4 linked regions of the Saccharomyces cerevisiae S288C genome follow. Changing the gene in region 1 together with any one later gene gives a genetic interaction. Each region holds a gene or a part of one and is shown in the gene's direction. Other genes may lie near its edges. The genes, in order: TCP1, SDD2, NUP188 and NEM1.

Evidence for each region.
Region 2: mutations in TCP1 (region 1) and SDD2 together harm fitness more than expected from each alone (negative genetic interaction), as found in Saccharomyces cerevisiae (3 studies listed by BioGRID, with this or other methods).
Region 3: mutations in TCP1 (region 1) and NUP188 together harm fitness more than expected from each alone (negative genetic interaction), as found in Saccharomyces cerevisiae (4 studies listed by BioGRID, with this or other methods).
Region 4: mutations in TCP1 (region 1) and NEM1 together harm fitness more than expected from each alone (negative genetic interaction), as found in Saccharomyces cerevisiae (4 studies listed by BioGRID, with this or other methods).

The regions. Positions count from the first base shown.
Region 1 is NC_001136.10:883,460-890,806, forward strand, and holds TCP1 (chaperonin-containing T-complex alpha subunit TCP1), read left to right. Parts: upstream 1-3,772; coding exon 3,773-5,452; downstream 5,453-7,347. Other genes in the region: YDR210C-C (gag protein), read right to left, coding at 1-468; GCD6 (translation initiation factor eIF2B catalytic subunit epsilon), read left to right, coding at 1,268-3,406; UPC2 (Upc2p), read left to right, coding at 6,292-7,347. UniProt on the Saccharomyces cerevisiae protein: Molecular chaperone; assists the folding of proteins upon ATP hydrolysis. Known to play a role, in vitro, in the folding of actin and tubulin. In yeast may play a role in mitotic spindle formation.
Region 2 is NC_001145.3:412,516-418,365, reverse strand, and holds SDD2 (Sdd2p), read left to right. Parts: upstream 1-4,892; coding exon 4,893-5,330; downstream 5,331-5,850. Other genes in the region: sister chromatid cohesion factor PDS5, read left to right, coding at 1-2,170; YMR075C-A (uncharacterized protein), read left to right, coding at 2,313-2,678; RCO1 (Rco1p), read right to left, coding at 2,330-4,384; IRC21 (Irc21p), read left to right, coding at 5,493-5,850.
Region 3 is NC_001145.3:59,315-69,698, reverse strand, and holds NUP188 (Nup188p), read left to right. Parts: upstream 1-2,149; coding exon 2,150-7,117; downstream 7,118-10,384. Other genes in the region: CAC2 (Cac2p), read right to left, coding at 1-1,405; MDM1 (Mdm1p), read left to right, coding at 7,377-10,384. UniProt on the Saccharomyces cerevisiae protein: Functions as a component of the nuclear pore complex (NPC).
Region 4 is NC_001140.6:111,254-118,140, reverse strand, and holds NEM1 (Nem1-Spo7 phosphatase catalytic subunit NEM1), read left to right. Parts: upstream 1-5,046; coding exon 5,047-6,387; downstream 6,388-6,887. Other genes in the region: STP2 (Stp2p), read right to left, coding at 1-327; protein transporter TIM10, read left to right, coding at 2,240-2,521; GPA1 (guanine nucleotide-binding protein subunit alpha), read left to right, coding at 3,224-4,642; TCD1 (tRNA threonylcarbamoyladenosine dehydratase), read left to right, coding at 6,824-6,887. UniProt on the Saccharomyces cerevisiae protein: Catalytic component of the NEM1-SPO7 complex which acts as a phosphatase and dephosphorylates the phosphatidic acid phosphohydrolase PAH1. Essential for the formation of a spherical nucleus and meiotic division.

The DNA.
Region 1 (7,347 bases):
GGATGAATCAGTAAATGTATTACCTGACTCAGGTGATGGAGTGCTCAGAGGCGTTCCAACTGATGATGGATACTGCGGAAACTGTGATTGTGGCCCAGGTGGAAAGTACATAGGCGACATTTGATAAGGTGTATACGGAATCATAGATGGGTGTCCGTAAAATGACCAACCAGATGGATTGGCTTGGTTTTGGGTCATCATGCACTGCTGTGGGTACGGCCCATTCTGTGGAGGTGGTACTGAAGCAGGTTGAGGAGAGGCATGATGGGGGTTCTCTGGAACAGCTGATGAAGCAGGTGTTGTTGTCTGTTGAGAGTTAGCCTTAGTGGAAGCCTTATCATATTCTTGAATTTTGGAAGCTGAAACGTCTAACGGATCTTGATTTGTGTGGACTTCCTTAGAAGTAACCGAAGCACAGGCGCTACCATGAGATATATGTGGGTAATTAGATAATTGTTGGGATTCCATTGTTGATAAAGGCTATAATATTAGGTATACAGAATATACTAGAAGTTCTCCTCGAGGATTTAGGAATCCATAAAAGGGAATCTGCAATTCTACACAATTCTATAAATATTATTATCATCGTTTTATATGTTAATATTCATTGATCCTATTACATTATCAATCCTTGCGTTTCAGCTTCCACTAATTTAGATGACTATTTCTCATCATTTGCGTCATCTTCTAACACCGTATATGATAATATACTAGTAACGTAAATACTAGTTAGTAGATGATAGTTGATTTTTATTCCAACAATGGCCTCTTTAACACTAATATCCCGACAATTTTCCCAAAATTCAAAGAATTCTCAGAAAGAGCTATTTTTTTTTTTAATAAAATTATTAGTACTAATTCCAGTATAAATAACAATGTTATTTACGTCTCTTTCGAAAATGCTCGTGTAGCTCAGTGGTTAGAGCTTCGTGCTTATAGCAACATTCGGTTTCCGAAGTTTCTGTGCCAAAGACCTTTCAAACAGGCCTTTAAAAGCAACGCGACCGTCGTGGGTTCAAACCCCACCTCGAGCACTTTCTCTTTTTTTTTCACACGCGTTTGCAACATGCCCGTATTACATGAGCTTATTTGACTTTAGATGGTTTTCAGTTCTTTTTTTTTTTTTTTTTTTTTTCAGTAGATTAATGCGAAGAGTTAAATCACCAATTCAAAGATGGCAGATGGACCACCTTGTGGGATAAGTATAAAAATAACTAAAAGTGGTCTTGTGTTAAAAATAGAATAGAAACCACTCATAAGGCAAAAGATGGCTGGAAAAAAGGGACAAAAGAAAAGTGGACTAGGCAACCATGGAAAGAACTCTGATATGGATGTTGAAGATCGTCTCCAGGCCGTTGTCTTGACAGACTCTTATGAAACTAGGTTTATGCCACTGACAGCTGTCAAGCCAAGGTGTTTGCTGCCACTGGCTAACGTACCTCTCATTGAATACACCTTAGAATTTTTGGCTAAGGCTGGCGTACATGAAGTTTTCTTAATTTGCTCTTCTCATGCCAACCAAATTAATGACTATATTGAGAATTCTAAGTGGAACTTGCCTTGGTCTCCATTTAAAATTACCACCATTATGTCTCCAGAAGCTAGATGTACGGGTGATGTTATGAGAGATCTAGATAATAGAGGTATCATTACTGGAGATTTTATTTTAGTCAGTGGTGATGTATTGACTAACATCGATTTCAGCAAAATGCTAGAATTTCACAAAAAAATGCATTTGCAAGATAAAGATCACATCTCGACAATGTGTTTGAGCAAAGCGAGTACCTATCCAAAAACAAGAACTATTGAGCCTGCCGCATTTGTCTTAGACAAATCCACCAGTAGGTGTATTTATTACCAAGATTTACCATTACCAAGCTCTAGAGAGAAGACTTCCATTCAGATTGACCCAGAATTGTTGGATAATGTCGATGAATTTGTCATAAGGAATGACCTCATCGATTGTAGAATTGACATTTGTACATCTCATGTACCTTTGATATTTCAAGAAAATTTTGACTACCAATCATTAAGGACAGACTTTGTTAAAGGTGTCATTTCAAGCGATATATTGGGAAAGCATATATATGCCTATTTGACGGACGAATATGCTGTAAGAGTTGAAAGTTGGCAAACTTACGACACCATTTCTCAAGACTTTTTAGGTAGATGGTGTTATCCCTTGGTCTTAGACTCTAACATACAGGACGATCAAACGTATTCTTATGAATCAAGACATATATACAAGGAAAAAGACGTTGTTTTGGCCCAATCCTGTAAAATTGGTAAGTGCACTGCAATTGGATCAGGAACAAAAATCGGAGAGGGTACGAAAATTGAGAATTCCGTGATTGGAAGGAACTGCCAAATCGGTGAAAATATTAGAATCAAGAACAGTTTCATTTGGGATGACTGTATCATCGGAAATAACAGTATAATTGACCATTCATTAATTGCCTCTAATGCCACGTTAGGGAGTAATGTACGCCTAAATGATGGCTGTATAATTGGTTTCAACGTTAAAATTGATGATAATATGGATTTAGATAGAAACACAAAAATATCTGCCAGTCCATTAAAAAATGCCGGCTCAAGAATGTATGATAATGAAAGCAATGAGCAGTTTGACCAAGACCTTGATGATCAGACACTAGCCGTTTCTATTGTTGGAGATAAGGGTGTTGGTTATATTTACGAAAGCGAGGTGTCTGACGATGAAGATAGTTCTACAGAAGCCTGCAAAGAAATAAACACTTTGAGTAACCAATTAGATGAGTTATACTTAAGTGACGATTCAATTTCTTCCGCCACTAAAAAGACAAAGAAAAGAAGAACGATGTCTGTCAATAGTATATACACGGATAGAGAAGAAATTGATTCTGAATTTGAGGACGAAGATTTTGAGAAAGAAGGTATTGCCACCGTGGAGCGTGCTATGGAAAACAATCATGATCTTGACACAGCATTATTAGAATTGAACACCTTGAGAATGAGTATGAACGTGACATATCATGAGGTGAGAATAGCAACAATAACTGCATTATTGAGAAGAGTTTACCACTTTATTGCAACTCAAACATTAGGTCCCAAGGACGCTGTGGTGAAGGTTTTTAATCAGTGGGGACTGTTGTTCAAGAGACAAGCCTTTGATGAAGAAGAGTATATTGATTTGATGAACATCATAATGGAAAAAATTGTAGAACAGAGTTTTGACAAACCGGATTTGATTCTATTTAGTGCATTGGTTTCTCTATACGATAATGACATAATTGAGGAGGATGTCATTTATAAATGGTGGGATAATGTTTCTACTGACCCTCGCTATGATGAAGTCAAGAAATTAACTGTAAAGTGGGTTGAGTGGTTACAGAATGCTGACGAAGAATCTTCCTCAGAAGAGGAATAAAAGTCCACGCAGTACCCTGCATAATCATGTATTACCATAAAAAGGCTTTAATATGAGAAAAAGGTGAGCGCTATATAGATTTAGTAATTTACATGTTACAGAAGCAAAAAGCAAATATATATATATTTTTTATCATATTAGTTTTTATCCTCAGTAGTACTACTGAAATAATAATCTCAGATTTTTTTTTTTCACTTGCCGAGGGACCTTGTCCTAAGTGGCAAAGAACTGAAAAAAAAAAAAATTGAAATGCGGTGGTATCACATGAAGAGTAAATAACTTAAGCAAAAGAGAGGCCACTGAGAGAGTACAAGAAAGGGACAATAACAATAGACAGAAGACTTTTATATTTGTAATAACTTAGCGATGTCCCAATTATTCAATAACTCGCGCTCAGATACCCTTTTCCTAGGAGGTGAAAAAATAAGTGGTGATGATATTCGTAATCAGAATGTTTTGGCTACTATGGCTGTGGCTAACGTCGTCAAGTCATCTTTAGGCCCCGTTGGACTGGACAAAATGCTTGTTGATGACATTGGTGATTTTACCGTCACCAACGATGGTGCCACTATTTTGTCTTTGTTAGATGTTCAACATCCAGCTGGAAAAATTTTAGTAGAATTGGCTCAACAACAGGACAGAGAAATTGGTGACGGTACTACTAGTGTTGTTATTATTGCTTCTGAGTTGTTGAAAAGAGCTAATGAATTAGTCAAAAATAAGATTCATCCAACTACCATCATAACTGGTTTCAGGGTTGCATTAAGAGAGGCTATTCGTTTTATAAATGAAGTTCTTTCCACAAGTGTTGACACTTTAGGGAAAGAGACGTTAATTAATATAGCCAAGACTAGTATGTCCTCTAAGATCATTGGTGCTGACTCTGATTTTTTCAGCAATATGGTTGTAGATGCTCTTTTGGCTGTTAAGACGCAAAATTCCAAAGGAGAAATCAAGTATCCCGTAAAGGCTGTCAATGTGTTGAAAGCTCATGGTAAATCTGCCACTGAATCACTGTTGGTGCCAGGTTATGCTTTGAATTGTACAGTTGCTTCTCAAGCAATGCCTAAACGTATCGCCGGTGGCAATGTGAAAATCGCATGTTTGGATTTGAACTTGCAGAAAGCTCGTATGGCAATGGGTGTTCAAATCAACATTGATGATCCGGAACAATTGGAGCAAATCCGTAAACGTGAAGCTGGTATTGTTTTGGAAAGAGTGAAGAAGATCATTGATGCTGGTGCTCAAGTTGTGTTAACCACCAAAGGTATTGATGATTTATGCTTAAAGGAGTTCGTTGAAGCTAAGATAATGGGTGTAAGACGCTGTAAGAAGGAAGATTTGAGAAGAATTGCACGCGCTACAGGCGCCACTTTGGTTAGTTCTATGTCTAACTTAGAAGGTGAGGAAACTTTCGAAAGCAGTTATTTAGGTCTTTGTGATGAAGTAGTTCAAGCCAAATTTTCTGATGATGAGTGTATCTTAATTAAGGGTACTTCTAAACATTCATCTTCTTCGATCATTTTAAGAGGTGCCAACGATTATTCTTTAGATGAGATGGAACGTTCTTTGCACGATTCTCTTTCTGTTGTCAAAAGAACGCTTGAAAGTGGAAATGTTGTCCCCGGTGGAGGTTGCGTTGAAGCCGCATTGAATATCTATTTGGACAATTTTGCCACCACAGTTGGTTCTCGTGAACAGTTAGCTATTGCTGAGTTTGCAGCTGCATTATTAATCATTCCAAAAACTTTAGCTGTTAACGCTGCCAAGGATTCTAGTGAATTAGTTGCAAAATTAAGGTCCTACCATGCCGCTAGTCAAATGGCCAAGCCAGAGGACGTTAAGAGGAGAAGCTACAGAAATTACGGCCTAGATTTGATTAGAGGTAAAATTGTGGACGAGATTCACGCTGGTGTTCTTGAGCCAACCATAAGCAAAGTCAAATCCTTGAAATCAGCATTGGAGGCTTGTGTAGCAATTCTAAGAATTGATACAATGATTACAGTGGATCCAGAACCACCCAAAGAAGATCCGCACGATCATTGATTCTTTGCGTAATCCGAACGAGATTCTGTATCTGCATGTAAACTAATAAACCTATATAAAATTTAATTATATTTTTTTCAGCTAGTTCTATTTTTGAATTTGATCGCTAACTCTGGGCAGTTGATAAGCGCTTCCCAGCTTTTCACGTGCGAGGTGGACTAATACGTAATAACGCGTACCTATTAGGACTTCGTTGAGTTGTTTTTCTTGTCCAAATGCAGAAGCGGGTCCCTACAAACTATTGTGTTTGTTCGTAAACGAGCAGGAACCCTGTTAAAGGAAAAAAGCTTAACGCTAGCGTTACATTTTAGTAAGGCGGCAATAAAAAAGAATGCGGAGTGTATTCCATGAATTCAATTGCGCTTACTGCTAAGCCTGTTTCTAAACATGATCCCCAGGGTGAATATCTCCCATAGTGGCTGTGTTATTCTGTCTAAATGTGGCAGCTAAATAAGGTTTTTTCCAAGCTATTTTTTTCTCTAAACGAGCGCACCTTAGCGGGATCGCGTCAAATTTTCGCCCAACGAATATTATTCTATTGTCTTCAGTGAATGTGCTTGTCGAAATCTATATATGCGCCGCCCTGGCAGGATCAGCAAATACAAGTTACTTGGAAAGTCGCGGCATAGAAAGTAGACACTTCTTTTGTCAAAGATTGATATTGCTTTCAGGGTGCGATAGTGCTGACTGTTCCTCTAAACAGCGATTTTTTACATACATTAACTTTTTGAAGTTGTAGGAACTATCTTTTCTCATTTATCCAACACTAAAACAAAATTGAGCTTTCCAGAAATAGTGAATCAAAAAAAGTTAAGTACAAATATTTACAGTTCAGCAGTATGAGCGAAGTCGGTATACAGAATCACAAGAAAGCGGTGACAAAACCCAGAAGAAGAGAAAAAGTCATCGAGCTAATTGAAGTGGACGGCAAAAAGGTGAGTACGACTTCAACCGGTAAACGTAAATTCCATAACAAATCAAAGAATGGGTGCGATAACTGTAAAAGAAGAAGAGTTAAGTGTGATGAAGGGAAGCCAGCCTGTAGGAAGTGCACAAATATGAAGTTGGAATGTCAGTATACACCAATCCATTTAAGGAAAGGTAGAGGAGCAACAGTAGTGAAGTATGTCACGAGAAAGGCAGACGGTAGCGTGGAGTCTGATTCATCGGTAGATTTACCTCCTACGATCAAGAAGGAGCAGACACCGTTCAATGATATCCAATCAGCGGTAAAAGCTTCAGGCTCATCCAATGATTCCTTTCCATCAAGCGCCTCTACAACTAAGAGTGAGAGCGAGGAAAAGTCATCGGCCCCTATAGAGGACAAAAACAATATGACTCCTCTAAGTATGGGCCTCCAGGGTACCATCAATAAGAAAGATATGATGAATAACTTTTTCTCTCAAAATGGCACTATTGGTTTTGGTTCTCCTGAAAGATTGAATTCAGGTATCGATGGCTTACTATTACCGCCATTGCCTTCTGGAAATATGGGTGCGTTCCAACTTCAGCAACAGCAGCAAGTGCAGCAGCAATCTCAACCACAGACCCAAGCGCAGCAAGCAAGTGGAACTCCAAACGAGAGATATGGTTCATTCGATCTTGCGGGTAGTCCTGCATTGCAATCCACGGGAATGAGCTTATCAAATAGTCTAAGCGGGATGTTACTATGTAACAGGATTCCTTCCGGCCAAAACTACACTCAACAACAATTACAATATCAATTACACCAGCAGCTGCAATTGCAACAGCATCAGCAAGTTCAGCTGCAGCAGTATCAACAATTACGTCAGGAACAACACCAACAAGTTCAGCAACAACAACAGGAACAACTCCAGCAATACCAACAACATTTTTTGCAACAGCAGCAACAAGTACTGCTTCAGCAAGAGCAA
Region 2 (5,850 bases), on another chromosome or scaffold:
TTCTGGCCTTTCTGACTCTACGAAAGCAATCGACGCCCTCGAAACAATAAAACAATTTAACGACGAAAGAATCTTTTATTTATTAAATGCCTGTGTCACCAACGATATTCCGTTTCTTACTTTTAAAAATTGTTACAATGAATTGGTCAGTAAGTTACAAACGCCAGGACTATTTAAAAAATATAATATATCTACTGGTGCTTCCATTATGCCACGTGATATCGCCAAGGTAATACAAATTTTGCTTTTTAGAGCCTCACCAATAATTTATAATGTATCCAACATCAGTGTTTTATTGAACCTATCTAATAATTCTGACGCAAAACAATTGGATTTGAAAAGAAGAATCTTGGATGATATATCGAAAGTCAATCCCACATTATTTAAAGATCAGATTAGAACATTAAAAACCATTATCAAGGATTTGGATGATCCAGATGCAGAAAAAAATGATAACTTGTCATTGGAAGAAGCTTTAAAAACCCTTTACAAGGCTTCCAAAACATTAAAGGATCAAGTGGATTTTGACGACACGTTTTTCTTCACCAAATTATACGATTTTGCAGTTGAAAGTAAACCAGAAATAACGAAATACGCCACAAAACTTATCGCTTTATCGCCCAAAGCTGAAGAAACTCTGAAAAAGATAAAAATACGTATCCTACCTTTAGATTTGCAAAAAGACAAGTATTTTACATCTCATATTATTGTACTCATGGAAATATTTAAAAAATTCCCTCACGTCCTAAATGATGATTCCACTGATATCATATCATACCTAATTAAAGAAGTTCTATTATCAAACCAGGTCGTTGGTGATTCAAAAAAAGAAATTGACTGGGTAGAAGATTCTCTATTAAGTGACACGAAATATTCTGCAATAGGTAATAAGGTGTTTACTTTAAAGCTGTTCACCAACAAATTGAGATCAATTGCTCCGGATGTTCCACGAGATGAATTGGCAGAAAGTTTCACCGAAAAAACTATGAAGTTATTCTTTTACTTGATTGCAAGTGGTGGTGAGCTGATTTCCGAGTTTAACAAGGAGTTTTATCCCACCCCCAGTAATTATCAAACAAAATTGAGGTGTGTGGCAGGAATTCAAGTTTTAAAACTGGCCAGGATTTCTAATTTGAACAACTTTATCAAACCTTCGGACATTATTAAATTAATTAATTTGGTTGAAGATGAATCGCTGCCAGTAAGAAAAACATTTTTGGAACAACTGAAAGATTATGTTGCTAATGAACTGATTTCCATAAAGTTCCTACCACTAGTATTTTTTACTGCTTATGAACCAGATGTCGAACTGAAAACCACAACGAAGATATGGATAAACTTTACATTTGGCTTAAAATCATTTAAAAAAGGGACGATATTTGAAAGAGCTTTGCCTAGGTTGATACATGCGATTGCACATCACCCTGATATTGTGGGAGGTTTAGATTCCGAAGGAGACGCATATCTAAATGCTTTAACAACAGCGATTGATTATTTGCTGTTTTACTTTGACTCTATTGCCGCCCAAGAGAACTTCAGTTTGCTCTATTATTTATCAGAAAGGGTAAAAAACTATCAAGATAAGTTAGTTGAGGATGAAATTGATGAAGAAGAAGGACCACAAAAAGAAGAAGCGCCAAAGAAGCATAGACCTTACGGTCAGAAAATGTATATCATAGGTGAGCTGTCGCAAATGATTCTATTGAATTTAAAAGAGAAGAAAAATTGGCAACATTCAGCATATCCAGGTAAATTAAACTTACCATCAGATTTGTTCAAACCTTTTGCAACGGTTCAGGAGGCCCAGTTATCTTTCAAAACATACATACCAGAGAGCTTGACTGAAAAAATACAAAACAATATAAAAGCTAAAATCGGACGGATTCTTCACACGTCACAAACTCAAAGACAAAGGCTTCAAAAGAGGTTATTAGCTCACGAAAACAATGAATCACAAAAAAAAAAGAAGAAAGTTCATCATGCGAGATCACAGGCTGACGACGAAGAAGGTGATGGGGATCGAGAATCAGACAGTGATGATGACAGTTATTCACCGTCTAACAAAAATGAAACCAAGAAAGGGCACGAAAATATTGTGATGAAGAAATTGAGGGTCAGGAAAGAAGTTGACTACAAAGACGATGAAGATGATGACATCGAGATGACTTAGAAGGGAAAAAAACATCAATTGCTATGTTGTAAATGGAAAAAAAAGGAAAATAGGTAGATCTCTCACTTTAAGATGCGATACATATGCCTATGTATGTGTGTATATATGTAAGGAAGGTGTTCACGTTCCTGATTTATTCTTTATGTATGTACGCCGTTTCTATTCGGATTGGTTTTCGGGATTTTCTATGTTTAAAAATTTTAACAGTTCTTCCTTTGGTTTGGATTCGATAATCTTCTTTAAATATAACAGATGCTTTATTTCATCGCTGGAAAAGTCATTGAATTGTATAGAATCTAGTTCGTTCGGCACGACTACGTTAGTCAGTTCTTTCAAATCCCATAATTTTCTTAAGTTATTGCTTTTGGAAGCCGATTTATTGTTACTACTCTTGTCGTTGTTGCTAACTTGGAAATATATTAAAGAGGCTATGTCTTTGACCATATTATCCTCGCTATTGCCATTTTGGGATCCATTTGATACTAACTTATCTATTAAACTTTCTTGAAATTGAAAGAGTTTTCTTTTTTGAACCATTTTTGATTTGTAAATTTTATCAAAAAAATCATATTTAATGGAATTTTCATCTATTTGTGTAATTTTGAAATCTTGATTGAAATCATAATCTGTATGACTAGTTGTTGGTATGATTTGAATGTTCCCGTTATTTTGGTAGCCTATTTTTTGTAAAGGTTCATAATAAAGTTGGTTTTTCTTGTTTATCAATCGTTGTTTTTTCCACACCTTATAATTTACGCTATTATCTTCTTGACAATGGTGTATCTTTTTGTAAACTTTAGTTGGGGAATGTAGAGGACATTTCCATTTTGAACCTAAGTTCTTGAAAGAAGCCCTCGGTACACAATCCAAATGCCATGGAGTCTGACAATAATCACAAGTCATTATTAATCTTGAATTTTCTGGATGAGACCATGAACCTAGTCTGGTTTGATTGCATTTGTAACAAATTAAAAACTTACCTGAATTTGAATCTATATGTGTATCCGGGTTGTAAGAGTCCAATTTAGTTATGCTTTGGCCATAAGAAGTGTTAAACAATTGTCTATCAGTTAATGGAATCTTATCATTCTCATCAGAGTATTGTCCTCTCGAACCCGTTTTCACAGCAGGAAAGGTTTCTTTTATATAATTTGGTAGCTGGAACTGTTTTGGGTTGTGGGAATCGATATTGAAAAGTAATTTAGCAAAAATCTTGACGTTGTTATTTTGCTTAATGAAGTTGGATTCAATTTTTTTTAAAGTTGCCATTGAGTTATTTATGAAGATTTTAAACTTACATTCATTACAATGCCAATCACCTTTAGGCAGGTTGTTCGGATCAATTGGTGGGTCTAAGCAAAGAAAGTGAAAGGATTTGGGGCATGTATCACAGCATAAAAAAGAACCTGACTGATTACAAGCCGAACAAAAATCTTCATTCTCAAAATCTATGGTTGAATTGTTCTTGTCCCTGAAAATTTTTTCACTCGCATTCGATGTTGACTTGATGGAATTTTGGCCAAATAGTTTACTTTTTGAATCATAGGTAGCATTCGTTGAAAGTATTATTTTGGTTCTAATATTTGATAGCTTTTTATTATCGCGGTCGCTTTCAGGTTCACGGTCACGAGTTCTGTTTATTATATCGCCATTCCAACCAATAGTTGACCGTATATTGCTCTCTTCAGTCATGTTCTCAGTTAAAAACGTTTTCAAATCATTTCTGTTCAAATCCTGAAAATTTTTCGGCACCTGAGTAAATCTTTTACTGGGGACCAGCGTCATTTCTGAGTTGTTCGATTGGCCTCCCAAATTTTTTCTATAATTCCAAAGAGACTCTCGCTTGATTTTCTCAGAAGGACCTTTATTTAACGGCAATCCAGTGACAGATACCTTCGAATCTTCCGAGATGGTGGATGGCTCATTAAGTTTGATGATATTACCCTTGGAGTCCTTTTCAAGAAGTTCCTTGGGTTCTTCTTCCGGGATATTGTCTTCAACTGCAAGATTGCTATGCTCGTTCTTGAATGATCTTTCTATACCTTCAGAAGTGATGATCTTTCTCCTTTTCAAATCGTAATTTACATTCTGGGAGGATAGTCTCTTAGGACGTTTTTTCTCTTTGGAAGAAGATGAAGAGAGAGAAGAAGATGAAGGAGAAGAACTGTTGGAATGTGAGGGCGACCTAGTAGTATCTTTCTTGCTGGTGTCCATTGTATTATTATTAGCAGATGGTAATGGAAGTGTCTTTTATAGGTTTTTCTATGGTGATTATTCTCGTTTATACTTGGTATTCTTCTTCCTTCCTCTCGTGCTTGTTGCAAATGTTCAAACGCGTAGTGGGTACGTCGTTCTCTACAAAGGAATGAGGCAGATCTTGCAGCGAGCTACTAAAACTACCACTTATGGGTTAACACGATATATATGTATTTATATCTACTAATATGGTATTAAGGCTCAAAAATAACCTTGCAACAGAGAGCAATAGTATAATTTCCTACATGAGGAAGAAAGTTGCCTATTATGGTGAGCAGGTGAAATCCTAGCTGCGAACGGGAAACTTATTCGGACGAGAAACAGATGAGAAACAGATGAGAATTTTTGGGCTGGGTAAGCGAGAATTTTTATACCACTTGTGGTTCTACAAGGAGAACCAAGAGTAAAAGTTGAAAAATCTTCTTGCTCTCTGGATTACAATTCAGGAGGAAGTGTGTGCTCAGATATGGACCCAGAGTTACAAGCTATTAGGGAAGCCAGATTGGCTCAGTTGAAAAACAACAGTGGGGGTACCAACGGCGATAGAAATAGCGGTGCTAATAATGGTGGAGGTGAAAATTCCGCTCCCGTTGGTGCAGCTATTGCAAATTTCTTGGAGCCACAAGCTTTAGAAAGATTATCTCGAGTGGCCTTGGTCCGTAGAGACAGGGCCCAAGCAGTAGAGACATACTTAAAGAAACTGATTGCTACAAACAACGTCACTCATAAAATCACTGAAGCTGAAATTGTTTCAATCTTGAATGGTATCGCCAAGCAACAAAATTCACAAAATAACAGTAAGATTATCTTCGAACGGAAAGATTTCAGCGAAGATCTGAATTCATTTGACAAGCAGAATGCTAAAAATGATGACGACGAAGATGATGACGACTTCTTTGATTAGTTTATATAAACGAATAATATGTTTTTTCGTATAATGTTACATTTAGTACAAATCATATCCTTTATAGAACTAGAGTTAAAGTTACATTAATTATGTGTAGCAAAAGGACGAATAAGCAGAATATAACATATTAGCAGGTGCTTAGATTACACTCATAGAGATATGAGTAGTGACGGCATGAACAGAGATGTTTCAAACTCGAAACCAAATGTCAGATTCGCTGCTCCTCAGCGACTAAGCGTTGCTCATCCTGCCATATCATCCCCGCTGCATATGCCCATGTCGAAGTCGTCAAGAAAGCCTCTTGTAAGAACCAAAATAAGACTAGATCCTGGGCACAGTGCTCTGGACTGGCACTCTCTAACCTCCAATCCAGCGAATTATTATACAAAATTCGTTTCGCTACAGCTTATCCAGGATTTACTCGATGATCCGGTATTTCAAAAAGATAACTTCAAGTTTTCACCTTCACAACTGAAGAACCAATTGCTTGTCCAAAAGATACCCCTTTATAAAATAA
Region 3 (10,384 bases), on another chromosome or scaffold:
ACAAATCGACTGGCGTAGGATGTATGCGCCTCTTTTTACTATCGCTACTATTGCAGGGGATCTTCTTCACCGGCAGCATGTTCACGATCCCACCTGCCTCGCGCTGGTTCTTAGCCGCTACCGCGCTCTCGTCAGTGTCTAGTGGCTCTGCATGCATCGCTGGCGGCTCTATCCTTGAACCGAATTGCGTTTCTGTGTCGATCGATACATACGAACAGAATCCGTCTGTTGATGAGATTAGTAGGGTCGAGCCATCCTCAGACCATGCTAAATCAGTTATGGGTGAGTAATGTATATTTCCCACAACGCATAACGGCTCCAATACATCCGTGTCGTACACGAGTACTTCGTTAGTCGTTGCTATGGCAAATACTAGCTTATAGGGCAGCTTAAGCACACTCTTCTGGCACGTTTCGTAAAATACGGGCGAGAAAGCCGCCATCAGCGCTGGTTTCTTCAAAGATGGGATTCTAATCGCAGGCCGGTTTTTAACGCCACCAGCGCTGTTCAGTATTCCAGATCTAGTATACACGTATACGCAGTTCGCGACTTCATCACCAGCCACCTTATACACACCACTGGGAATTACGACCAAACCACCACAAGGCGATATGCTGCATCGCCTAAAGAATGAAGGTAGCGTCTCGTTGTGAAAAAGGTAATTTGTCCTCAGGACATCACCTGGACAAGGCAGTTCTGCCTTGGCAATCTTACTTCTAAGTTTCAGCCCTGTAACCACTCCTGCAGATGAAAGAATGACTCCATATACATGCAGAGACCGGTCCGCAGACTGTGAGAGAATAAACTGATTTAATGGGTCCCATGCAACACCTTGGACGTAGTGACCATGATCCGACTGGCCGCATACCAGCATCCCAGCTCCAACATCGAACAGTCGTATCGAATTGTCCATACATGCCACCACTATGTTCCTGTTATCAGGTGACCACGCTAGATCGTAAATCTCTGCCGCCGCAGTAGCACCGCTACCACCACGCAGCCGTTTCCACACAACCCATTTCTCCTTGTTCTCGTCTGCTTCACTAGTCTCCGCATCCATTCCGAATGGTCTGACCACAGATTCTTGCTGTGTATTTGGATCTTCTTGCTTCCATAGCAGCACTTGGCCGTCATCGCCCGCAGACGCCAGTACGTCACCCTTCGAGTTGAATCGGATTACATTTATGGCCTGTTCGTGATGCGTCAGCGAGCCAAGAAAGTCAAGGCTTTCAATCTTACGCACCCCCCCATTTTGTCCGTTTTCATCTCTGTTCAACTTCCATATCCTAACCTTGTTATCACCACCAGCGGTGAAAAGCTTGTCGTTCGCACTGTTCTTTTGGAATGTGAGCGAGTAAACGGGTTGTGAATCATGCCAGTAGATTTGCAAATGTGAAGCTTCCATTGTCCTGCCCCTTTGCTCTAAGCTTTTCTGCCTCCTTCTTTTAAATTCTGATACGTACTATAACGCTATAATAATAGCCCATCAGTTAGACAGCGAGTTAACTAACGTGTTCGCCGGGCAACCCAAGGAAATAAGGCGTCCTTTTCACATTTTCATATTTTTTCAAATTTTTTTCAATTCTAATTTTCCTTTTTCTCCCCCACCGTCTATAAAAGCTAGTAGTTTTCTACTTTTCACCACAGAAATCTATTCCTTCGATAACAGTCCCTAAATAAAAACACGACAAAAAGGCCCCACGCAAGCATGTGCAGCAACGGACAGGCGTCGTGCGCACAAACTTGCTCAGGGGCCCGAATACTAGCACATATGTCAAATTCCTAATTAACGTTTTTTATATTCATCGTTTCTTAGAGCCGTAATTGTGCTGATATCAATATCAGGGAAGAACATACCATATAGAGGTGTCAAGTACACCGAACGATCGTGGTGCTCCCTCAGCCACGGGCGTGCTTGGACGCTATTCCCACATATATACGCAAACAATCTATGTCTTCTCCCTCCTTGCCAGAAAGCCGGCTCCTGCTTGTAGTTAAGGTATATATGTATATATTCCGGGTAAGAATATTTTGTAATACCAAAAATTTTCTTCTTGAAATGAATACTTTGAGACATCTTTAATATTCGAACAGAAACACAAATAAAGAGATAACCCTTTCCACCGCTAAAAAAAGGACCCCATCAGCCATGGCTACACCTTCATTTGGCAATTCCTCTCCACAATTGACCTTCACTCATGTTGCTAATTTTATGAACGATGCTGCTGCTGATGTATCCGCTGTGGATGCCAAGCAATTGGCCCAAATAAGACAGTTTTTGAAAGCTAACAAGACAAATCTTATCGAGAGTCTGAACACAATAAGGCAGAATGTAACTTCTTCCGGCGATCATAACAAGTTACGCTCTACAATTGCAAACTTATTGCAAATAAACGTCGATAATGATCCATTCTTTGCTCAATCTGAGGACCTTTCTCATGCTGTAGAATTCTTTATGTCTGAGAGATCATCTAGACTTCATATAGTATACTCACTTCTCGTTAACCCTGACATCGACCTCGAGACATATTCATTTATTGACAACGATAGATTCAATGTAGTGGGGAAATTGATTTCTATAATATCATCTGTAATCCAGAACTACGACATTATTACAGCTTCATCTTTAGCACATGATTATAATAACGATCAAGACATGTTCACAATTGTCTCATTGGTGCAGTTAAAAAAATTTTCTGATTTGAAGTTTATCTTGCAGATATTACAAATTTTGAATTTAATGATCCTCAACACAAAAGTACCAGTAGATATCGTCAATCAATGGTTTCTACAGTATCAAAATCAATTTGTTGAATTTTGCAGAAATATAAATTCAACAGACAAGAGTATAGATACCTCGTCACTACAATTGTACAAGTTTCAGAATTTCCAAGACCTCAGTTACCTCTCAGAAACGCTTATTTCCAGGATTTCATCTTTATTTACTATCACAACTATATTGATACTTGGACTGAACACTTCAATCGCGCAATTTGATATTCAGTCACCTTTGTACATGGATACAGAAACTTTCGACACCGTCAATAGCGCTCTAGAGAATGATGTAGCAACCAATATCGTCAACGAGGACCCCATTTTCCATCCAATGATTCATTACTCCTGGTCATTTATACTTTATTATAGGCGAGCATTACAATCGTCGGAATCATTTGATGATTCAGACATAACGAAATTTGCTCTGTTTGCTGAATCACATGATGTTCTTCAAAAATTGAATACTCTCTCAGAAATTCTATCCTTTGATCCTGTTTACACCACAGTAATAACAGTATTTTTGGAGTTTTCTTTAAATTTTATTCCTATAACTGCATCTACTTCCCGGGTTTTCGCCAAGATAATTTCAAAGGCACCAGAGCAGTTCATTGAGAATTTCTTAACTAATGACACTTTTGAGAAAAAATTGAGCATCATAAAGGCTAAATTGCCCCTATTGAACGAATCACTGATCCCGCTAATTAATTTAGCCTTAATTGATACCGAGTTTGCCAATTTTGAATTAAAAGATATATGTTCATTTGCTGTTACCAAAAGTAGTTTGAACGATTTGGATTATGACTTAATTGCTGATACAATAACAAACTCTTCTTCATCCTCCGATATTATAGTGCCTGATTTGATAGAGTTGAAGTCTGATTTACTAGTGGCGCCACCCTTAGAAAACGAAAACTCTAATTGTCTCTTGTCAATACCAAAATCAACAAAGGGAAAAATTCTTACTATCAAACAACAACAACAACAACAACAACAACAGAATGGACAACAGCCGCCAACTACTTCCAATTTGATTATTTTCCTTTACAAATTCAATGGTTGGTCTTTGGTGGGTAGAATATTGCAAAATCTATTACATTCATATATGGAAAAGGGTACACAACTGGATGACTTACAACATGAATTGATGATATCCATAATAAAGTTAGTCACTAACGTTGTCGATCCGAAAACCTCGATCGAGAAATCTAGTGAAATTCTGTCATATTTATCAAATTCTCTGGATACTTCAGCCAGCACCATAAATGGAGCGTCGATTATCCAAGTAATTTTCGAGATTTTTGAAATATCACTACAAAGAAAAGATTATACCTCAATTGTACAATGTTGTGAATTTATGACTATGCTGACACCGAATTACCTTCATCTTGTTTCTTCTTACTTGAACAAATCGGATTTGTTAGACAAATATGGTAAGACTGGTCTTTCCAATATGATACTCGGTTCGGTTGAATTATCTACGGGGGATTACACATTCACTATCCAATTGCTTAAGCTAACAAAAGTCTTTATTCGAGAATCTCTCTCATTGAAAAATATCCATATTTCCAAGAGAAGTAAAATTGATATTATTAATAAGTTGATTCTACATGCAATTCATATCTTTGAGAGTTATTACAACTGGAAGTACAACAACTTCTTACAAAAATTCGAAATTGCCTTCCATTTGACATTAATTTTTTATGATGTACTTCATGACGTTTTCACCATAAATCCACATCAAAAGGATCAGTTAATCATTTCCTCGTCAGCAAACAAATTGTTGCAGTTATTTTTGACTCCCATGGATTCCATTGATTTGGCTCCAAATACTTTGACGAATATTCTGATTTCACCATTGAATACCACAACAAAAATTTTAGGCGACAAAATTTTGGGTAATTTATATAGCAAGGTAATGAATAACTCCTTCAAGCTGTGCACGCTTTTGATCGCTATTCGAGGTAGCAATCGTGATTTAAAGCCAAGCAACCTGGAAAAATTGCTTTTCATAAATTCATCAAAATTGGTTGACGTTTATACCCTACCAAGTTATGTTCATTTCAAAGTGCAGATCATAGAGTTGTTAAGCTATTTAGTAGAGGCTCCTTGGAATGACGACTATCCATTTCTGTTATCTTTCCTTGGTGAAGCAAAGTCAATGGCATTTTTGAAAGAAGTCCTGTCGGACCTGAGCTCTCCAGTGCAAGATTGGAACCTTCTCCGAAGTTTGTACATTTTTTTTACTACCCTATTAGAAAGTAAACAAGATGGGTTATCTATCCTCTTCTTAACAGGTCAATTTGCCTCCAATAAAAAAATTAATGACGAATCCTCCATAGACAAAAAGAGTTCTATATTAACTGTTTTGCAAAAGAATTCTTTACTATTAGATTCAACGCCTGAAGAAGTAAGTTGCAAGTTATTAGAAACGATAACATATGTTTTAAACACTTGGACAAATTCTAAAATATTCATAAAAGATCCTAAATTTGTGAATTCCTTATTGGCTAAGTTGAAGGACTCAAAAAAATTATTTCAGAAAAAGGAAAATTTGACTCGTGACGAAACTGTTTCTTTGATTAAGAAATACAAATTGATCTCAAGGATTGTAGAAATATTTGCGTTGTGTATTTACAACTCCACTGATTCAAACTCGGAAATTTTAAATTTTTTGAATCAGGAAGACTTGTTTGAATTAGTTCATCATTTCTTCCAAATTGATGGGTTCAATAAAACTTTTCATGATGAATTAAACTTAAAATTTAAAGAGAAATGGCCCAGTTTAGAGCTTCAGTCGTTCCAAAAAATTCCATTATCCAGAATAAACGAAAATGAGAATTTCGGTTATGATATTCCGTTATTAGATATAGTTTTAAAAGCTGACCGTAGTTGGAACGAACCAAGTAAGAGTCAGACAAATTTTAAGGAGGAAATAACAGACGCTTCATTAAATTTGCAGTATGTCAATTACGAAATATCTACCGCAAAAGCATGGGGCGCACTAATCACCACGTTTGTGAAGAGGAGCACTGTTCCGTTAAATGATGGTTTTGTCGACTTGGTAGAGCATTTCCTCAAGTTAAATATTGATTTTGGTTCAGATAAACAAATGTTTACCCAAATATATCTGGAAAGAATTGAGTTGTCGTTTTACATTTTATATTCGTTCAAGTTGTCGGGAAAATTGTTGAAGGAAGAAAAGATAATTGAATTGATGAACAAGATTTTTACAATTTTCAAATCTGGTGAGATTGACTTTATTAAAAATATTGGTAAGTCACTAAAAAATAACTTTTATAGACCTCTTTTGAGATCTGTCTTAGTTCTTCTCGAGTTAGTCTCGTCAGGAGATCGTTTTATCGAATTAATATCTGATCAACTACTGGAATTTTTTGAATTAGTGTTTAGTAAGGGTGTTTATTTGATACTGTCTGAGATATTATGTCAGATCAATAAATGCTCCACGAGGGGTTTAAGCACCGATCACACCACCCAAATTGTCAACTTGGAGGATAATACTCAGGATTTATTGTTATTATTATCACTCTTCAAGAAGATCACCAATGTGAATCCCTCTAAAAACTTCAATGTTATTCTAGCATCATCCCTAAACGAAGTAGGAACTTTGAAAGTTATACTGAACCTATATTCAAGCGCGCATTTGATAAGGATTAACGATGAACCAATTCTTGGGCAAATTACTCTGACCTTTATCTCCGAATTGTGTTCTATTGAGCCAATTGCTGCAAAACTCATCAACAGTGGATTGTATAGCGTTCTATTGGAAAGTCCACTATCTGTTGCAATACAGCAAGGTGATATAAAACCTGAATTTTCGCCTAGATTGCACAACATTTGGAGCAATGGTTTGTTATCCATTGTTCTACTACTATTAAGTCAGTTCGGTATCAAGGTTTTACCTGAGACGTGCCTATTTGTTTCATATTTTGGAAAACAAATAAAATCTACAATATATAACTGGGGTGACAACAAGTTAGCAGTGTCAAGTTCGTTGATAAAGGAAACGAATCAATTGGTTTTATTGCAAAAAATGCTAAACTTGCTAAATTACCAAGAATTGTTTATTCAGCCTAAAAACTCTGATGATCAACAAGAAGCTGTAGAATTGGTTATTGGTCTAGATTCTGAACATGATAAAAAAAGGTTAAGCGCTGCATTAAGCAAGTTTCTAACACATCCAAAATACTTGAATTCAAGAATAATACCTACAACTTTAGAAGAGCAACAGCAGTTGGAGGATGAATCAAGCAGATTGGAGTTCGTCAAGGGTATCAGCAGAGACATTAAAGCATTACAAGATTCACTATTTAAGGACGTTTAACTTATTTTGCAGGTTATGTAAAGCTACATAATATAATAATGAACAGTGCAAGTGCAAGGGTGGCCCTTTGTTGCTATACTGCGGACTGCGACTGTATGAGCTTTTTCCATCCCAGTTCTATCCATTGTGTACTTTTTTTTTTCATCGCCTTACGAACTTCAAAAATATGTAAACAATAAGATAAGTAAATTAACCGAAGACTCTCATGCTTTGAAAGCGCCATAAGTGCGCGTGTTTGTGCCTTCTGATATGATATCGTATGCCTAAGTTTCCACAGTTTCGATTGATTTTAGTTTTGTTTTACTTAATATCAATGATACAATGGTCGGTAATCACTTTTTCGCTGGGGTTCTTTCTTAATGTCTGCATCTTTGCGTACTTCGTATTCTTCAAATCCTTGCCTGATTTACCGAAACCTCAGCCAAGATTTGTTGATATCGTACCGGAAAGTTCGAATACTGTGGATGTTGATAAAGAATTGAAGTCTGTCGAGGGTTTAATACAAGATGGGAACGCGCAAATTGGGAAAGAATTAGAGAGTATTGTTAATTTAATTATTAAAGATTTTGTTCAGCCTTGGTTCACAAAAATCGATAAGAATAGTGACGCAGAGTTCCTCAAAGTAATAAAGTGGAGATTATTACAAACGCTCCTAGTGGTGAAGGACAAGTTGATGAAGAATGATAGTGCCAGCTTGATTGTTCTGAAGCTGTTGCCTATATTTAACAAACATTTCAGCACTTTTTGTGATGCCAGAGAAGCTGTGCTAAGCGATTTGACTCTTGAAAGGCATAAATCAGCCAACATCGATCTACAAATTGCCGTTGAGTTTAATAAAAATTACAAAATACATAAATCATTATCATTGAAGCCGAATGCTCTTCAGAAAGAAATTGAAAAATCCATAAGGAAAACTGTAATCGGGCTCCTTCCTCACCTTTTTGATAATGATGAGTTAGATTCATTGCTTGTTTTCACATTAATGACGGAAGTTCTCACTACGTGCATTATTTCTCCATTAATTTTCAAATTTACTGATCCAGATAGTTGGAATTTAAGAATTGTAAGCCTTTCACAAAATTATTTCGAGGAAAAGCACAAAGTTCACAAGATAAGAAGAATGTTGAGTAAAGAGTTACAAGATCATAGAAAAGTGATGAATGACGTAGCGAACAAAGATGTTGGAGAACCCTCAAGTGAAAAATTGGAGCTTAATGCTGAATATACTGGAAAACAATTCGAGCATTATCTCAACCAGTTGGACTCCTTGTTGGATTTAAGTGATATCAAATATGTTGCGTATTCATTGGCCCTCAAAATATACCAATTGAAAGAAAATGAACATTTGACCAAGGAAAATTTGAAGTATAAGAAACGATTACTGCTTTCCTTAAATTTGATTGAATCAAAGTTATCGTTCCCTGGCTCGGAAATTGATACGGCAAGCAAAAAGCTTGCAAGAGAGGCTAATTATCCCGATTTAAATATGGATAATGGAATAGTATTGAAGGAAATGGCTTCATTTCTTACCTCCATCACATTGAAGGACATTGTAGACGATAGCGAGTTTCTTCCTTTTTTTGAATCATTTTTAGGCAGTGTTCCTGAAACACAGGGTTCAACATTTTTAGAGTATTCGCAAACAATTGAATCATTCAAAAATCCCTTGGAAGATGCTACATCTGAAGATATAATTTCTGGTTATTCAGGAATTAGCACAATGCAACTGCAAGAGATTTCTTCAAAGTTTTTTCATAACAATAACTTGCAAAATATGAAATTGCTGGATGAAGGTTTAGTGAAAAATATAATACTTTTCAGAAATTCATTTCAAATCAACAACGATGAAGACACATTTATCCTAGCTCGGAAAAGCGTTTTACTACTACAGACAGAGGCTATAAAGTATCTCGATGATAGATTTTTACCTCTTTTCAAGAAAACACCTTCATTTCTCAAAATGCTTTCAACGTCCCACATCATTTCGACTGATATATATGCTCACTTTCTGAGTAGAATCGGTGGTGTTAACAATCCAGAACAAAACAAAATAATAAAAGATAATGTGAAGACTGATTTTATGAATCCTGTCAGAATATTCGCAAACCCCGGCATCACAGATGCTTTAGATAATATAGTGAATGGATCGGGATCCAAGCCGCATAAATCAAGAATAAGCTCAAATCCCCGTTATTCTCAGCTCTTTGGTTCAGAAAATGACAACATTTTCAAAGATAAACTCTTCGACGATGAAAACGATAATACCTCAGAAATTTCTGTTGTCGAGGATCAGTTGGATCACCCACGTAATATGGAGAAAGTAAGTGTTTCCAGCGGGAATTCAGGCCTAAATCCTAGCCAATTTTATGGGTCAAACAACTTTAGGGATAATATAGCATCCTTGACTATTTCAATTGATCAGATTGAGAAAGAGCTTGAACTTTTAAGGCATTTGATTTTGAAGGCAGATCTGACCAACAATCAAATGCAGTTGAAAATTTTAAAAAAGTCACAAAGAACCCTATTAAAGGAACTAGAAATGAAGGAACTGTTGAAACAGCAATATATGGTACAAGAAAATGGTAATAGTTTGTTCAGAAAAACTAAGATATACATTAGGTCGTACTTCAGTGAGAATTCTAGTAATGGCCTAAAAGAAATAACTTATTATATCATCAATATCCATCATTTTAACAATGGGCAGGTAAGTTCTTGGGATATGGCAAGGAGATATAATGAATTTTTTGAATTAAATACATATTTGAAAAAGAATTTTAGGGATCTGATGAGGCAGTTGCAAGATTTGTTCCCGTCAAAAGTGAAAATGTCATTGAAATATCATGTTACAAAAACATTGCTTTATGAGGAACGAAAGCAAAAACTTGAAAAGTACTTGCGAGAACTATTATCTATTTCTGAAATATGCGAAGATAACATTTTCAGAAGATTTTTGACAGATCCTACCCCATTCAAACTGAACAAGGAATATATGCATGATGATATTCTGGAGGAGCCACTTCATGAACCTATTGGTAGTAGTAATAGCACAAGTAATAGCAGTTCTGTTGTTGATTTACAAAGCTCTGAAGACGGCGGTGAATTGAATTTCTATGAAGATGAAAGACATTTTTTCACCGATTCTGGCTATCCTTTTTATTCGCAAAATAAATCTTTTGTTAAACAGATATGTGACTTATTTATTTCGCTCTTTGCTTTAAATAAGGCCAACGCGGGTTGGTTAAGAGGAAGGGCTATAATTACCGTTTT
Region 4 (6,887 bases), on another chromosome or scaffold:
ATCAATTTTAATTGAGAAAGGTGTTTCTAGGTTATCCAAATTTAAAGCACAGGGTACAACTGAAGATTTTGATGTTAGACTCAATTGTTTGTTGTTCTGTTTGGGAAATAATTCGCTCACGTCAACCAGATCGTCCTTTTCGGTAGCACAGCAGTCTTTCTGTGGATGGTTCTGTTTCGCAGGTTCTAACTTTTCGAAAGGAGTACTTTTCGAAGATTTGTCGTCTTCCACATTGGGCACAATCACTTGCTGCACTAATGCTTTAAGGTAGTCATATATCCTTGTTAACACGCTGTTCCGTGTTGAAGATAGTGATAAGATAGGCATGATAATGGATTTCCTTACTTCCCCAACTTTTTGCTCTCTTGCATTTGTCTGTTTGTCGGATGATTAATCACTGTTTTTCATTTATTAATCATCGTTTTTCTCGCTTTTTGCCCGTATTGGAATGTGAAGAGAAAAAAAAAATGATAAGAATTCTAAAAAAAGATACTCTTCGTTCGAATGGATGACTCTAAGAAGGGTAACAGACTTTCAATCTTCAAATAACATTATAATCTCTATTCTAGCCCTTAGAGGAGCATGTCATGCGTTCAGAACCTCCATTAATAGCTTACTTTATAACTTTCTATCAGTCACAAGTTAAACGTCGACAATTTTTGTGGGAAATGGTCTGTTTTTTTTCTTCAGTTAATAAATCTCGTTCTTGACTGCAGGTAATTAATGGTATCGTGATCGTTACCTATGCTTACACACTATAAGAATTTTCTTCGTGAGAATTGGCCCATTTCTCTGGTTCTTCTGAAGAGAGTTTTGCTGACCATCAATCAGCTTTACGAAAATTTACCGCCCAATTTCTTGCCAAAATGCCATCCATATTCCCATTCATTGGAATTCTTTCACTATTTTATCATTTCAATGTTCTTTGTAGCAACAGGCTCTTCTTTTTCACGCTTACTGTGATCATTTGTTATAAGTGCTGGTATTTTCTCTCTTCTGGAATTCCGTGCTATTGATATCACGACATGTGCGCTTCTCATGATTTTGCCGCCCAAGGCACATTTTGCCGTCTGTTTTTAACCTAATATTTATGTCGCGGGTATATTATCATATATTGCGTAAGAGGATGGTATTGCTGATGGGAAGTGGTCAACAAATTCAATAGGCACTGAAATGTAAGGGCTGACAATGTAATTGGATAAAGAAAGGCAACACATGAAAGGAAGAAAAAAAAAACGTTATTTATTATTATGTAAAACTATTGACCTCACCTTTGTGATTCACGCTGTCCTCGTGAAAAAACTTTTTTTGTTTTTGTAGACCTAATAAAAGAACCTTTTTTAACAATGTCCTAACAATAATTTCAACAGTTGCCAAACCTCAAATAGTGTTGGAATAAAAATCCACTATCGTCTATCAACTAATAGTTATATTATCAATATATTATCATATACGGTGTTAAGATGATGACATAAGTTATGAGAAGCTGTCATCGATGTTAGAGGAAGCTGAAGTGCAAGGATTGATAATGTAATAGGATAATGAAACATATAAAACGGAATGAGGAATAATCGTGATATTAGTAAATAGAAATATAGATTCCATTTTGAGGATTCCTATATCCTCGAGGAGAACTTCTAGTATATTCTGTATACCTAATATTATAGCCTTTATCAAAAATGGAATCCCAACAATTATCTCAACATTCACCCATTTCTCAAATAGTATGTTTTGGTGTTAAAGAAGAACATTGGAAACAAAGGAAAGGTAAGCATTAGCCCGGAAACAAAACAAGAGGAAGTAATATACACCTTTTTGGTTAACTTGTTCGTTCAGAAGAGCCCAAGTATGTAATTATTTTTTGCAAATCTTTCCTCAGTAACGATAACGACACGAAGGTAATATTTTAAAACATTTATCAACAAGTCACTAAATATAATCTGGGTCCTATCACTATTAGAGCTTCTATGGCCAAGTTGGTAAGGCGCCACACTAGTAATGTGGAGATCATCGGTTCAAATCCGATTGGAAGCATTTTTTGCATTGATTTCCCAATTCGTAGCTGATGATCACCCTCTGAAGCTATCGGACATTTTTTTTCTTTAATTTTTTCAGCGAGAGAGCTGGCAGTGAACGTACAAGAGCAAGCTCTCTAAAGAACTATTACTCTCCTCGTTCCCCTCTCATGTCTTTTAACAGATAAACAAGCAAAAGAAGGAACTATCATACTTAGAAAAACATGTCTTTCTTAGGTTTCGGTGGTGGTCAGCCTCAATTATCATCTCAACAAAAGATTCAAGCTGCGGAAGCTGAACTAGATTTGGTCACAGACATGTTCAATAAATTGGTTAATAACTGTTATAAAAAATGTATCAATACTTCTTATTCCGAGGGTGAGCTGAATAAGAATGAATCTTCGTGCCTAGACAGATGTGTGGCCAAATATTTTGAGACCAATGTTCAAGTCGGTGAAAACATGCAGAAAATGGGCCAATCATTTAACGCAGCCGGTAAGTTTTAGAAATGTGCATTAAAGCAGTAATGATAAGACGAAAATAAGAAAAGAAATCCATAAGCTGTTTTACTCGACTCAACGTTATAATTAGTATTATTGATTCATATCCTGTATATACAAGTAACATTATACTCTTTTCTGTACTTCATCTTTACCTTTTTATCTTACATGGCACATGTTGTTTGAAAACAAGATCATAGGTGGATAAAGCAAGCCGAATCTAAAAAAAAAAAAATGTCTCTATTGGAAAACTGAATGCATAACGATATTCCCTTTTCATGCAGATAACACTGACTAGTTTCAATTTGAAACGCATCTTCGTGTTATTTCACCGAAACGCACTCGGCTCAGCATGTTAAAAAGCACATCAATTTAGGGCTCTGCGCGTCCTTCTGCGTATTCTTCCTTGTAGAAATGCAATTAAATGGAGAGCAGAAATTTTTTTGTTACATATTGTTTTCCTTAAAGGGAAATATTAAAAAATAGTCTAAAATGAAGAGGATAGTAGAATTCCACCAATTTCTTTACGTTTTATATTATTCGTAATCTTTTGATCTGTTATTCATTTTTTCTTGTCACTCCGTTTCTAACATTTTTGACCATTTCTAAGACCAAACTGAGTAGAAGCTATTCATACTGTAAATTGGTATTTTAGCATCACATCAATAATCCAGAGGTGTATAAATTGATATATTAAGGTAGGAAATAATGGGGTGTACAGTGAGTACGCAAACAATAGGAGACGAAAGTGATCCTTTTCTACAGAACAAAAGAGCCAATGATGTCATCGAGCAATCGTTGCAGCTGGAGAAACAACGTGACAAGAATGAAATAAAACTGTTACTATTAGGTGCCGGTGAGTCAGGTAAATCAACGGTTTTAAAACAATTAAAATTATTACATCAAGGCGGTTTCTCCCATCAAGAAAGGTTACAGTATGCTCAAGTGATATGGGCAGATGCCATACAATCAATGAAAATTTTGATTATTCAGGCCAGAAAACTAGGTATTCAACTTGACTGTGATGATCCGATCAACAATAAAGATTTGTTTGCATGCAAGAGAATACTGCTAAAGGCTAAAGCTTTAGATTATATCAACGCCAGTGTTGCCGGTGGTTCTGATTTTCTAAATGATTATGTACTGAAGTACTCAGAAAGGTATGAAACTAGGAGGCGTGTTCAGAGTACCGGACGAGCAAAAGCTGCTTTCGATGAAGACGGAAATATTTCTAATGTCAAAAGTGACACTGACAGAGATGCTGAAACGGTGACGCAAAATGAGGATGCTGATAGAAACAACAGTAGTAGAATTAACCTACAGGATATTTGCAAGGACTTGAACCAAGAAGGCGATGACCAGATGTTTGTTAGAAAAACATCAAGGGAAATTCAAGGACAAAATAGACGAAATCTTATTCACGAAGACATTGCTAAGGCAATAAAGCAACTTTGGAATAACGACAAAGGTATAAAGCAGTGTTTTGCACGTTCTAATGAGTTTCAATTGGAGGGCTCAGCTGCATACTACTTTGATAACATTGAGAAATTTGCTAGTCCGAATTATGTCTGTACGGATGAAGACATTTTGAAGGGCCGTATAAAGACTACAGGCATTACAGAAACCGAATTTAACATCGGCTCGTCCAAATTCAAGGTTCTCGACGCTGGTGGGCAGCGTTCTGAACGTAAGAAGTGGATTCATTGTTTCGAAGGAATTACAGCAGTTTTATTTGTTTTAGCAATGAGTGAATACGACCAGATGTTGTTTGAGGATGAAAGAGTGAACAGAATGCATGAATCAATAATGCTATTTGACACGTTATTGAACTCTAAGTGGTTCAAAGATACACCGTTTATTTTGTTTTTAAATAAAATTGATTTGTTCGAGGAAAAGGTAAAAAGCATGCCCATAAGAAAGTACTTTCCTGATTACCAGGGACGTGTCGGCGATGCAGAAGCGGGTCTAAAATATTTTGAGAAGATATTTTTGAGCTTGAATAAGACAAACAAACCAATCTACGTGAAACGAACCTGCGCTACCGATACCCAAACTATGAAGTTCGTATTGAGTGCAGTCACCGATCTAATCATCCAGCAAAACCTTAAAAAAATTGGTATTATATGAAGGAACTGTATAATTAAAGTAGTGTTTAGATACGTAAATTCTGTTTCCGAAGATGCAAGAAGGAGCAGCAGCACCAGAAAAAATTACTATTTTTCTTCTCCATTAGAGTCTATGATGGAATGCCAAATGAAAAAGCCATTTTGTTCAACAGTTCTTGATCTCGTTAAATCGTTCCGGGTTTTCAATTGAAAAACAAGGGTAATAAAATCGCATGAGAAAAAAAAGGTCCAGACACTTTTTTAGAAGAAAAACTCTTGAAAACAATTGATTCTTCTACGTAAGGACAGGGTATTATCTCGAATTCTTCTCCCTGGTAAATACTCGGGATATATAGAACCTATTTTGCATCCTATTCTCACTTTTCTTTATTGTTGTTAATTTCTGGACATTGTTTCATTAATTGAATGAATGCCCTAAAATATTTCTCAAATCATTTAATAACTACAAAGAAACAAAAAAAAATCAATGTTGAGGTGACAAAGAATCAAGATCTACTAGGCCCTTCAAAGGAAGTTTCGAACAAATATACTAGCCACAGCGAAAATGATTGCGTTAGTGAGGTGGACCAACAGTACGACCACTCCTCAAGCCACTTAAAAGAATCTGATCAAAATCAAGAGCGCAAAAATTCTGTTCCTAAAAAACCAAAAGCTTTACGTTCCATCCTAATAGAGAAAATAGCGTCAATTTTGTGGGCACTACTACTTTTTCTTCCGTATTATCTGATAATCAAGCCCTTGATGTCTTTATGGTTTGTTTTTACCTTCCCACTAAGTGTCATCGAGCGTCGTGTAAAACACACCGATAAGAGAAACAGGGGTTCAAATGCTAGTGAGAATGAGCTGCCTGTCAGTTCAAGCAATATTAACGATTCTAGCGAGAAAACAAATCCTAAAAATTGCAATCTAAATACGATTCCCGAGGCAGTTGAGGATGACTTAAATGCCAGTGATGAGATAATTCTACAAAGGGATAATGTTAAAGGCTCATTACTTAGAGCTCAATCTGTCAAATCAAGGCCAAGAAGTTATTCCAAATCAGAACTATCACTTTCTAATCATTCAAGTTCTAATACCGTATTTGGTACAAAACGAATGGGAAGGTTCTTATTTCCAAAGAAGCTGATACCTAAATCCGTGCTTAACACACAAAAGAAAAAGAAACTGGTTATAGATCTCGATGAGACCTTAATTCACTCGGCTTCTCGAAGTACAACGCATAGTAATTCTTCTCAGGGTCACTTGGTGGAAGTGAAGTTTGGATTGAGCGGAATTCGTACACTATACTTTATTCACAAGAGGCCTTACTGTGATTTATTTTTGACAAAAGTTAGCAAATGGTACGACCTTATCATTTTTACAGCATCCATGAAAGAATACGCTGATCCTGTGATAGATTGGTTAGAAAGCTCCTTCCCATCCAGTTTTTCAAAAAGATATTACCGTTCTGATTGCGTTCTAAGGGATGGTGTTGGATACATTAAAGATTTGAGCATTGTCAAGGACTCCGAAGAAAACGGGAAAGGCAGCTCCTCTTCTTTGGATGATGTCATTATTATAGATAACAGCCCGGTAAGTTACGCAATGAATGTAGATAACGCTATTCAAGTAGAAGGATGGATAAGTGATCCAACTGATACGGACTTACTGAACCTGTTACCTTTCTTGGAGGCTATGAGGTATTCAACAGATGTCAGGAATATACTGGCATTGAAACATGGAGAGAAGGCATTCAACATAAACTGACAATTGTTATTGTGTCCTTCCAAAAAAGATGAGAATTTTAGGTGATAAATCGCCTATCCATTGCTGCTCATTTAATGGAAAGGTTATTGCATTCAGGGAAAAAAGTAACGGGAGAAAAAAGAGAAAAGACCTCTTTTTTGTTTTCTACATACGAGCATATTAATTATTTAGCAGGAAGATATACTTGATCTAAACAGTATATATATATATATATATATATATAGGTTGGGAATTAATCTTGAAATTTTTTTAGTCTTACGTTATCTTCAGCAGTGACACGCTAAATGCCCGTATCTTACTTTACATTTTGCTGTCAGGTTTTTTGATTTCTTTTTCATATTTTATGCAGTAGCGAAAAGAGACAAGACTATGAAAAAATTTTCTAGCGTTAGTAAAGTATTAATACTGCAATTAGTTAGGATAGCAGAACGAACAAATGGCAAATAATACGTGGAAGTTAATTGCTACTACAGCTCTTATATCGGTGTTTTCAACCCAAC